Linked DNA regions of Saccharomyces cerevisiae S288C. The gene in region 1 interacts genetically with each later gene. Each region holds a gene or a part of one and is shown on either strand. Other genes may lie near its edges. The genes, in order: SPO1 and CWP1.

What was found.
Region 2: of SPO1 (region 1) and CWP1, extra expression of one rescues a mutant of the other (dosage rescue), as found in Saccharomyces cerevisiae (2 studies listed by BioGRID, with this or other methods).

What each region holds. Positions count from the first base shown.
Region 1 is NC_001146.8:607,873-612,393, reverse strand, and holds SPO1 (putative carboxylic ester hydrolase), read right to left. Parts: upstream 2,709-4,521; coding exon 2,604-2,708; intron 2,520-2,603; coding exon 729-2,519; downstream 1-728. Other genes in the region: YNL011C (uncharacterized protein), read left to right, coding at 1-558; HEF3 (translation elongation factor EF-3), read right to left, coding at 2,941-4,521. UniProt on the Saccharomyces cerevisiae protein: Regulates spindle pole duplication in meiosis I, but not in mitosis. Required for meiosis I, meiosis II chromosome segregation and spore formation. Binds phosphatidylinositol (4)P mono- and polyphosphates.
Region 2 is NC_001143.9:259,154-262,534, reverse strand, and holds CWP1 (Cwp1p), read right to left. Parts: upstream 1,404-3,381; coding exon 684-1,403; downstream 1-683. Other genes in the region: mRNA splicing protein YJU2, read right to left, coding at 1-258; CWP2 (Cwp2p), read right to left, coding at 3,004-3,282; YKL096C-B (uncharacterized protein), read left to right, coding at 3,313-3,381. UniProt on the Saccharomyces cerevisiae protein: Component of the cell wall.

The DNA.
Region 1 (4,521 bases):
TCCCAGTTGCATTTTGACAAGCTTGATGAATCACAGAATCTACCTGCTCCGGTACATAGGATATTGTATATAAACCCATATGGCGAAGAGATAAAACCAATGGGAAATCCAAGAGCTATTTCCAAGGTGAAAAAAGCTGACATGGTCGTTTATTCTATCGGTTCTTTAATGACAAGTTTACTCCCAATCCTTATTCTTGGTAATCTTGCTGAAGTAATTTTGGAATCTAATAATACGAAAAAAGTTTTGCTCATAAATAATAAATATGATAGAGAGGTTTTTGGTTTAGACGGTTTACACTACGTTCAAATGATCATAGATTCTATGAGTAGGGCAATAGCAGGCTATAGGCAATCTAAGGGTGTCCATTCAGAGAATGATGACTTTGAATGGCAAGATTTTATTACTGATATTGTTTACCTAAAAAATGGTGAAATTGAAATTGATGAAACGATATTCGAGAAGCATAGTATTAGATGCCACCAGATCGCGTCTTCGGATAAGATGGAAAGTGAAGAACTTGAAAAGGTTCTGAATCAAATTGGCCTTAAAAACTGATGCAACTATGTCGCTCATTAACGGTTATTATAGTGAAGACTACATAATAAAGACATAGATAATAAAAAAGAATCGCGTTTGAACCATGTTTTATTTAACCATATGGCATAGAAGAAAAGTAAAAAAGGTGAACAAAAACTCATTAAATTTCACAGAAAAAGTCTACTCTCTTATGAGTAACAGTAGTCTTTAAAGCATTGTAAGCAAAATGGCGAAAATTTCTTTTTTCTTGGGAGCCTGTCCATTGTTCTTTTGGTTAATATACAGCCTAAGCAATTTTTATAATAAAGGTCATAATCATTGCTAAACACTCCCCTTCCAGTGGGTAACATACTGCTAACTTCAGACTGATTGTAAGTTATTTTGAATGTCGACGTATTAGATGCGTTTCCATGATTCGCATTGGCATGATAAATTATAATTGGCAAAAATGAATCATGTCCAGTTCTTTTGGTAGCATTGCATCCTATAACAATGGGGTGAGTGAATGTTTTTACATTGTTCGGAAATTGGTAATGAACGTTCTCTTCATCTAATTTTTCGAATATCCTTTTTAACTTGGAGCCGTTTGGATAGTTGTCAATATCCGAACTAGAATCCAGAACAAAAATTACATCTAGTTCCCTTTCAGGAATCACCAATGTTCTGAGTGGAATATTCTCGCCGTCTTCTCCGCCGTCTACAAGGTATAAATGATTTTTGTTAGTTAGGACATTGTCTTTTTCAGGATAAAGATAAAAGGGATTGGGTTGATATACGGCATAGTCTGTCTCTAATCTCGAGGAGTCTTTCGAAATACTAAATATTTCCTCTTTACCTAGGCCAAAAATTCCCATAACCATATTCAAAGCTTTCATTGCTTCTCTGGAGGACTGAGAAGCCAAATTCCAGATGAAGATGAGCACATTGTTGAATATTGAAGAAGACGTCGCAGTAATAAAACCTAGATCATCAAAGTTATTAATACACTTCTCGGCCTTTCCAGAAACAATTTTTGAGCCCAAATAGGGCAACTTGACGAAAAGTCTGAGGATATTTTCCCAAGATCCAAATTCAAAGGGCGTAAATTCAAATATAACGTTTGAAAGAAGTCCATTTTTGCAATTTGCAACGAATATTGGGATCGGCACACTGCATTCCTTAAATTTTTTAGACGAGTTTACAAGCTTCGAAAACGAAAAGGAATGGTTGGGATCGTCATCGAAATTTTTTTTTAGTCTTTGAACGATTGCTTTACCCCAATAATCGGTGAACGATATTTGGAAACCCTCCATTTTTTTAGGCTTAATTTTCAAATGCAAACTTTTGTAAAAGTCTAGCACTTTTTTAAAGGTTTCAATCTTCGCATCAGTTCCAGTGAAAGTGTTGTTAGGAAAGAATATTTTTTTTAGTCTTGCTAATGGATTCAAGTTTCTCTTCGTTATCATATAGTCTTCTGGGATTTCTTCTATGGAATTCATGATCTCCTCTATTTGTTCATAAAAATTTGAAGAGCTTGTAATCAGAGAACCCCCCTGACGCTTCTTCATCTTCAAATCATTATCATTATACTCCTTTTTTGCATTGGTAACAATTTCTTCTTCGGAAATATCGAATTCCGGTATGCCTAATAAAAGATCCTCTTCAAGGTCCCACTCTTGTAGCAGGGATTTTACTTCAAAATTTTGAACTACCAAATCCATCAAGATCCAACTTCCGCCTGATAATCCAGCAATATAATCCGAATATTCAAAAAGGCCATAATCGTTCATTTGGGAAATAAATCCGGTACCTACTAACATGGATCTGTACCCGCCGCCAGATATAGCAATCCCAATTTTTGGAGGATCTTTCAACACGCGTTTATAAAACTTCGAACTAAACTTTGCCTCTGTCAAGGATTTTAAAAACTGAATCAGTTTATTCTTCGTTTTAATTTTTTTTTTCTTCAGATACAAGGTTTCTTCTGGACAGAGTTCATGCTAATAAACAAAGGAATACGAAGTTTTGGTATATTCGGTTAGTTTTGGCCCATATTTGTTAAAGTGGCAAAGAGTTTAACTTACTTTGGCCTCCCTAATAAGTGGAGAGCTAGGACATTGTACCTGAAATGGTGCTGTTGCTAGTACTACTGTCAATAACACAGAAAAGACAAAGAGGAGTTTTTGCATTATTTTGGGATATTTATGTCTTTACTTAGGTTTTTTACTTGTATACTTTCTCTGAGTGCATTTACTTAAATATGGTTGTATAGCCGCTGAAGTATGTTTTTTTTTACCTTTCTTTGTGAAAATCAGTAATAGAAAATAAACATAAAAAAAATAAAAATATAAAAAAAGAATAAGGATGTTAACTTCAAAAATATATAAGTTACTCACTGAAAGAGATGTACTCGACTTCAAATTAAAAATCTTCATCAGAAGAAACGTATTCATCACCCATCTCTTTTTTCTTCTTCATTCTCTCCTTCTTTTTCTTTCTCAATTCTGCAGAAGAGAGTTTGCTTTTTTTCTTCCCACTATTAATCTTGTTACCCATAGCATCAAATTTATCACCCTCTTCTTCTTTTTTCTCAATTCTTGGGCCAGCACCTTGTCCTGCAACCCAATTATGGCCAGAGGGTGTCATTTTCCCATCCTTAACCGCCCAAACTTCGTCAGTCAGATTCTTAGTAAATTCTGCCGAATGCGTAATAATAATGACACCACCTTCAAAAGCTTTTAATGCTTTTGAAAGAGCACCCAATGAATCTCTGTCCAAGTAATTCGTAGGTTCATCTAAAACAATCAAATGGGGTCTTTGCCACGTGCAGGCAGCGAGTACCAATTTAACCTTTTGCCCACCCGATAAACCTCTAATTCTTGAATGTGAGACTAATTCTGAATCCAACCCCAACATGGCGCAATGTAATTCAATCTCTTTTCTTGTTAAAGCCCTGAATTGACCAGAAGCCAAAGCTTCCTTCATATCAATTTCAGCAACCATTTTAGAATGGGATTCAATCAATTCGCCCCTTGGTAGCCAAGCATTGTCGACAGACATCATTGGAACCCATCTTTCAGATTTCATACCAATGTTCTCACCTAACAAAAACGAACATTCGTACTCATACGTGTTTTTAAATTTCCTTCTTGAATGGATTCCTGCAACCCTTCTTGGGGTCCCTTCAATTTTAAATATTTTATTCATGGCCTCTGCGTCATTTTCATTTATTTGCCTATTTGCTCTATCCATTGTTTCCCTATCCTCACCAGTTTGGAACCTCCATTGAATGTATTCGGATGGAGTTTTGTCTAAGTGCGATTCAATGTGTGCAAAAGCGTGCTGCTTAATATACGCTATACGACAATTCTCGTGTGTATATACTTCACCGCTGGTTGGTAACAGTTCACCAGTAAGAACATTAATTAAAGTGGACTTACCAGCCCCATTAGGTCCGATAACTGCAATCCTTGAGGATAGAGAACACTGGAAAGTAACATCTGAGACTTGTGGTTTAGTTGTCCCTGGATATTGAAAAGTCATATTACTTACTTTAACAATTGCCTTTTGCTTCGTTTTGACACCTTCTAGATAACCAGGAGTTGGGAATTGAAATTCAAGGTCAGAGGCACCTAATTCATAGTATGATTGTGCCGTAGGACATTTTTGAACAAATTCTGATAAATTACCCTTGTACTTTCTTAATTTAAGACCCTCATAATGTATGATGTATTGACAAACCTTATCCAGAAAACCAGAATCATGAGAGACAATCACCGATGTAATTCCGCAAGTATTCAAATAATTTACCAGCCACTCCACATTAACAGTGTCTAGATGATTTGTTGGTTCATCCAATAGTAGAATGTCAGCGTCCTTCAGAACAGCCCTCGCCAAAGCTAATTTCATTTTCCAACCTCCAGATAGGGATGCAATTGGCATTTCTATCATTTCATCGCTGAACCCAAACTCCTTTAATTTCGAGGTAATAACATCCTTAGT
Region 2 (3,381 bases), on another chromosome or scaffold:
AATGGTTAGTCTATATATCTTAATGGAGTCCAGGTACTTCTCCTTCAGTAGCTCTTTCTTACCATTGAATTTTCTGCTTTTGGGAATATATTCGTTACATTCCAAACACCTCATACTAAATGGGGTCATTAATCTAATCGATGCGTGGCTCTTATTCATGGTTTTCAGTTTTTTAGCCATTTTCCTGGATAGCTTTTCAGCTTCCAGTGGGTTGTAATCCGGTGGATAGTACTTGTTAATAGCTTTTCTTTCAGACATTCTTGTATTCTCCTATCAGCCTGGAAACGGTTAATTTGGTTTGACTTATTAGTTCGTTCTACTGAGGTCACCGTAGTGATTTCTTGCTTTTTTTCGAATATGTACAATAAATAACAACTCTATGCGTATTAGCAGTCAGTGGAACAAACTTGAGATAGCTACTCTTATCTCCTTTTCTGTATATCCATCTTTCTACATGCAGCAGAGAAACCGCCGGCGGGACATTCACCTACTTTTCTACAAGTTTAAATTTTTCAAGCGAATCGGGGAATGTGAGAGCTGCATGCAAGAAAAGGAATGTAGGTAGGAGGACAATGTAAGAGAATATTATGGGCCATTTCATATTACATTACGCTATATGTAAGTGATCATTATGTAGAAAGCTATATTGAAGGAAATAAAACATGCAGGTTTTGTTCTCGTACTTACAACAAGTAAGCAGCTGCGACCGCTAGAGCACCAGCACCCATGCCGACGGCAGCCTTGGCACCTGCATTTTCTGTTTGTTCGTAAACTGTGTTTGGAGCTTGGATTTGTCCATCAGTAATTTGAGAGATAACTGAAGCAGTTGGGGAGCTAGCAGAGGAAGTTTCCACAGTAGTAGAGGTCTCGACAGATTCTATACTCGAACTATGCTTTGTAGAAGATGATGCGGAAGCAGACGAAGCAGAAGCAGATGAAGAGGAACTAGAGTCGCTTGGAGAAAAATCTGCTGCAACAGATCCGCTCTTACTAGTTGGTCTAATCGCAACACCGGTAGCGTCGTCGGATTGCTTAGAAGAGAAAATGTAAGACGACCCGTCCTTGATAGCGTAGAAACCAGAAGAGCTCTTGTAGTTTAGATGGCCATCTTTAATAGAAAAACCAGTGGCAGCATCGCTCTCAGAACCTTCTTTGAATGAGCCATCCTCATTGACAACAGCATACTTATCGTCGTCAAATTTCAGTTTACCGTCATCGGTAATAGTTGCCTCAAATGAGCCACTACCGCTGCCAAGTTTCAAAGTGCCGTTATCACTGTAAACACTCAAGTATTGTAAATCCGAGCCGGAACGGATACTCACCAGGCCGAATTCTTCGGAATCGGCAATGACCATCTTAGCCAAGGCGAATAAAGCGACAGACAAAGCAGTGGAGAATTTCATTATTGTTTTTTGAGACTTTCGTAGTATTTATTAGTTTGTTACGGGATATTTTACTTCAGACAGAAAAAAAATTCAAGGAAGATAGCGAAAGAAAGAAACGTTAAGATCGTCCTTTAAATAATTGAGATTTTGTTTGTTTGCTTTTTTTTTTTCTGCACCACAAATTATCAAAATTAAAAGGTGAAAAAACACTACATTGAACGTGAACCACAGAGCTTATTGTTTGTTGTTTTTTTTGTTTTCTTTTGTGGCACCTTCGAGATGGCTCTCCTGGAGTAAGTTACCGTTGTGGGACAACCCGCACGCACAGACGTAAGCGGACCCGTATTCCAATCGGGCCGAAGGGCCCTTTTCGTTCAGGGAGCTGTGGCTAACGCTATTTTTAGTTATGACGTACGGTGCGGCACCATCTATAACGCGAAGAAGTACTTTTTTTAGCTCTCTTTTTTTGTTTTCGCGGGAGGGGTTTGTTTATTATGATATTTTAACGGGATAGAAGGTCGAGCACACAATGTTTGCCGTCAAGAGGGGTATCTGCTTCTATATTCGTAACTTTCCAGATGTCCGATTTTTTTTTTCATTATTACCTCGAGCTACGATTCGGTACACATACATTCTTATTTTGAAACTTGTTCACCATATCTTTGCAAAAATTAATGAGATTCCAATGTTATGTATGGGTGAAGTATAAGACGTGGTTGCAGCATCCCTTAGTATTTGTCTAGTGGGGTTCTTCACTACTTACTCTTGAAGCATAAAAAAGAAAACAAGGCTAGCTCTAAAGCATCGTAGATGAATCTCATTAAGAAAATTCAGCATGTGCGAAGGAAGGTACAGTTTTAAAGTCGCATCAATGCCCATAATAAAGGGATTAATGGCACTGTGCTAAAATGTGCCAGGTCATGAAAATTTCATAGCGCATTGGCAAGCGACTTTAGCGCGCGCCAACGTGATATTTCTTGTAAGTTCAAATCCATCCGAGGGGCAATTGTAGTGAGGACAAAAGTTCATTGAGTTCTAGATTATTATTTTGTCACACGTCTCCCTTGAATTTGTAAAATATTTTATAAGTGGAAGTAAAGTATAGAAAATGGCAGAAAAAAAAGATCCCACCGTAGCACACCAATATCTTTCCCACTTTCTTTTGAACAGGTAACAGATAACGAAGATGGTAAAAAGATAAAGGGAAGAACGGTCAGCACTTTCGCCTATGTTTTTCACGCCTTGACTCTTTAATCGCAGCTAAGGGCGAAATTCTTTATGCACACTGGTCTGTTGAAACAAGCATGCATGTTTTTTTCACCTTAGGGGCGCAGGAAACATTGTGCATAGCCAAGATCTCAGCAAACTCGAAGAAACCCAGTCTCTAATACATTCATTTCGAGTTCAAATTTTTGACTCATTCGAAGAGAAATCACAGGAACATCGTTAAAGTAAAAAGTGTTTTATTTTTATGGTATCTACCTATTCAAAATAACAAAAATTATTTAAAATTATGTGTAAAAATATATTAACGAAAAGAAAAGAATCAAACACTTACCTAGTAAAACCGAAAATTTTGAAAAAAGCCATATAGATATTATAAAAAATCAGAGATTTCTTATAACAACATAGCAGCAGCAGCTAGAGCACCGGCACCCATACCGACAGCGGCCTTAGCAGCACCATTTTCAGTTTGTTGAGAGATAGTTTCGGTGCTGGATGGAGAAACAGTTTCAACGGTGGAAGATGGGGCAGCAGTGGTGGTAGCTTCGGTGGTAGCAGTGGTAGTAGCTTGGATTTGACCGTCAGTGATTTGAGAAATGGCGGCAGCGGATTCAGCGGCAACAAAGTTAGCCAAAGCGACGAAAGCAACGGAAGCGACAGTAGAGAATTGCATTTTTTTTCTTGTTAGTGTGTAGCGAATGTGATGAAGTTATTTATTCTTGATTATGAGAAGAAAAGAACAAAGATAGGAAAAGGGATGGCAAGAAGAGAA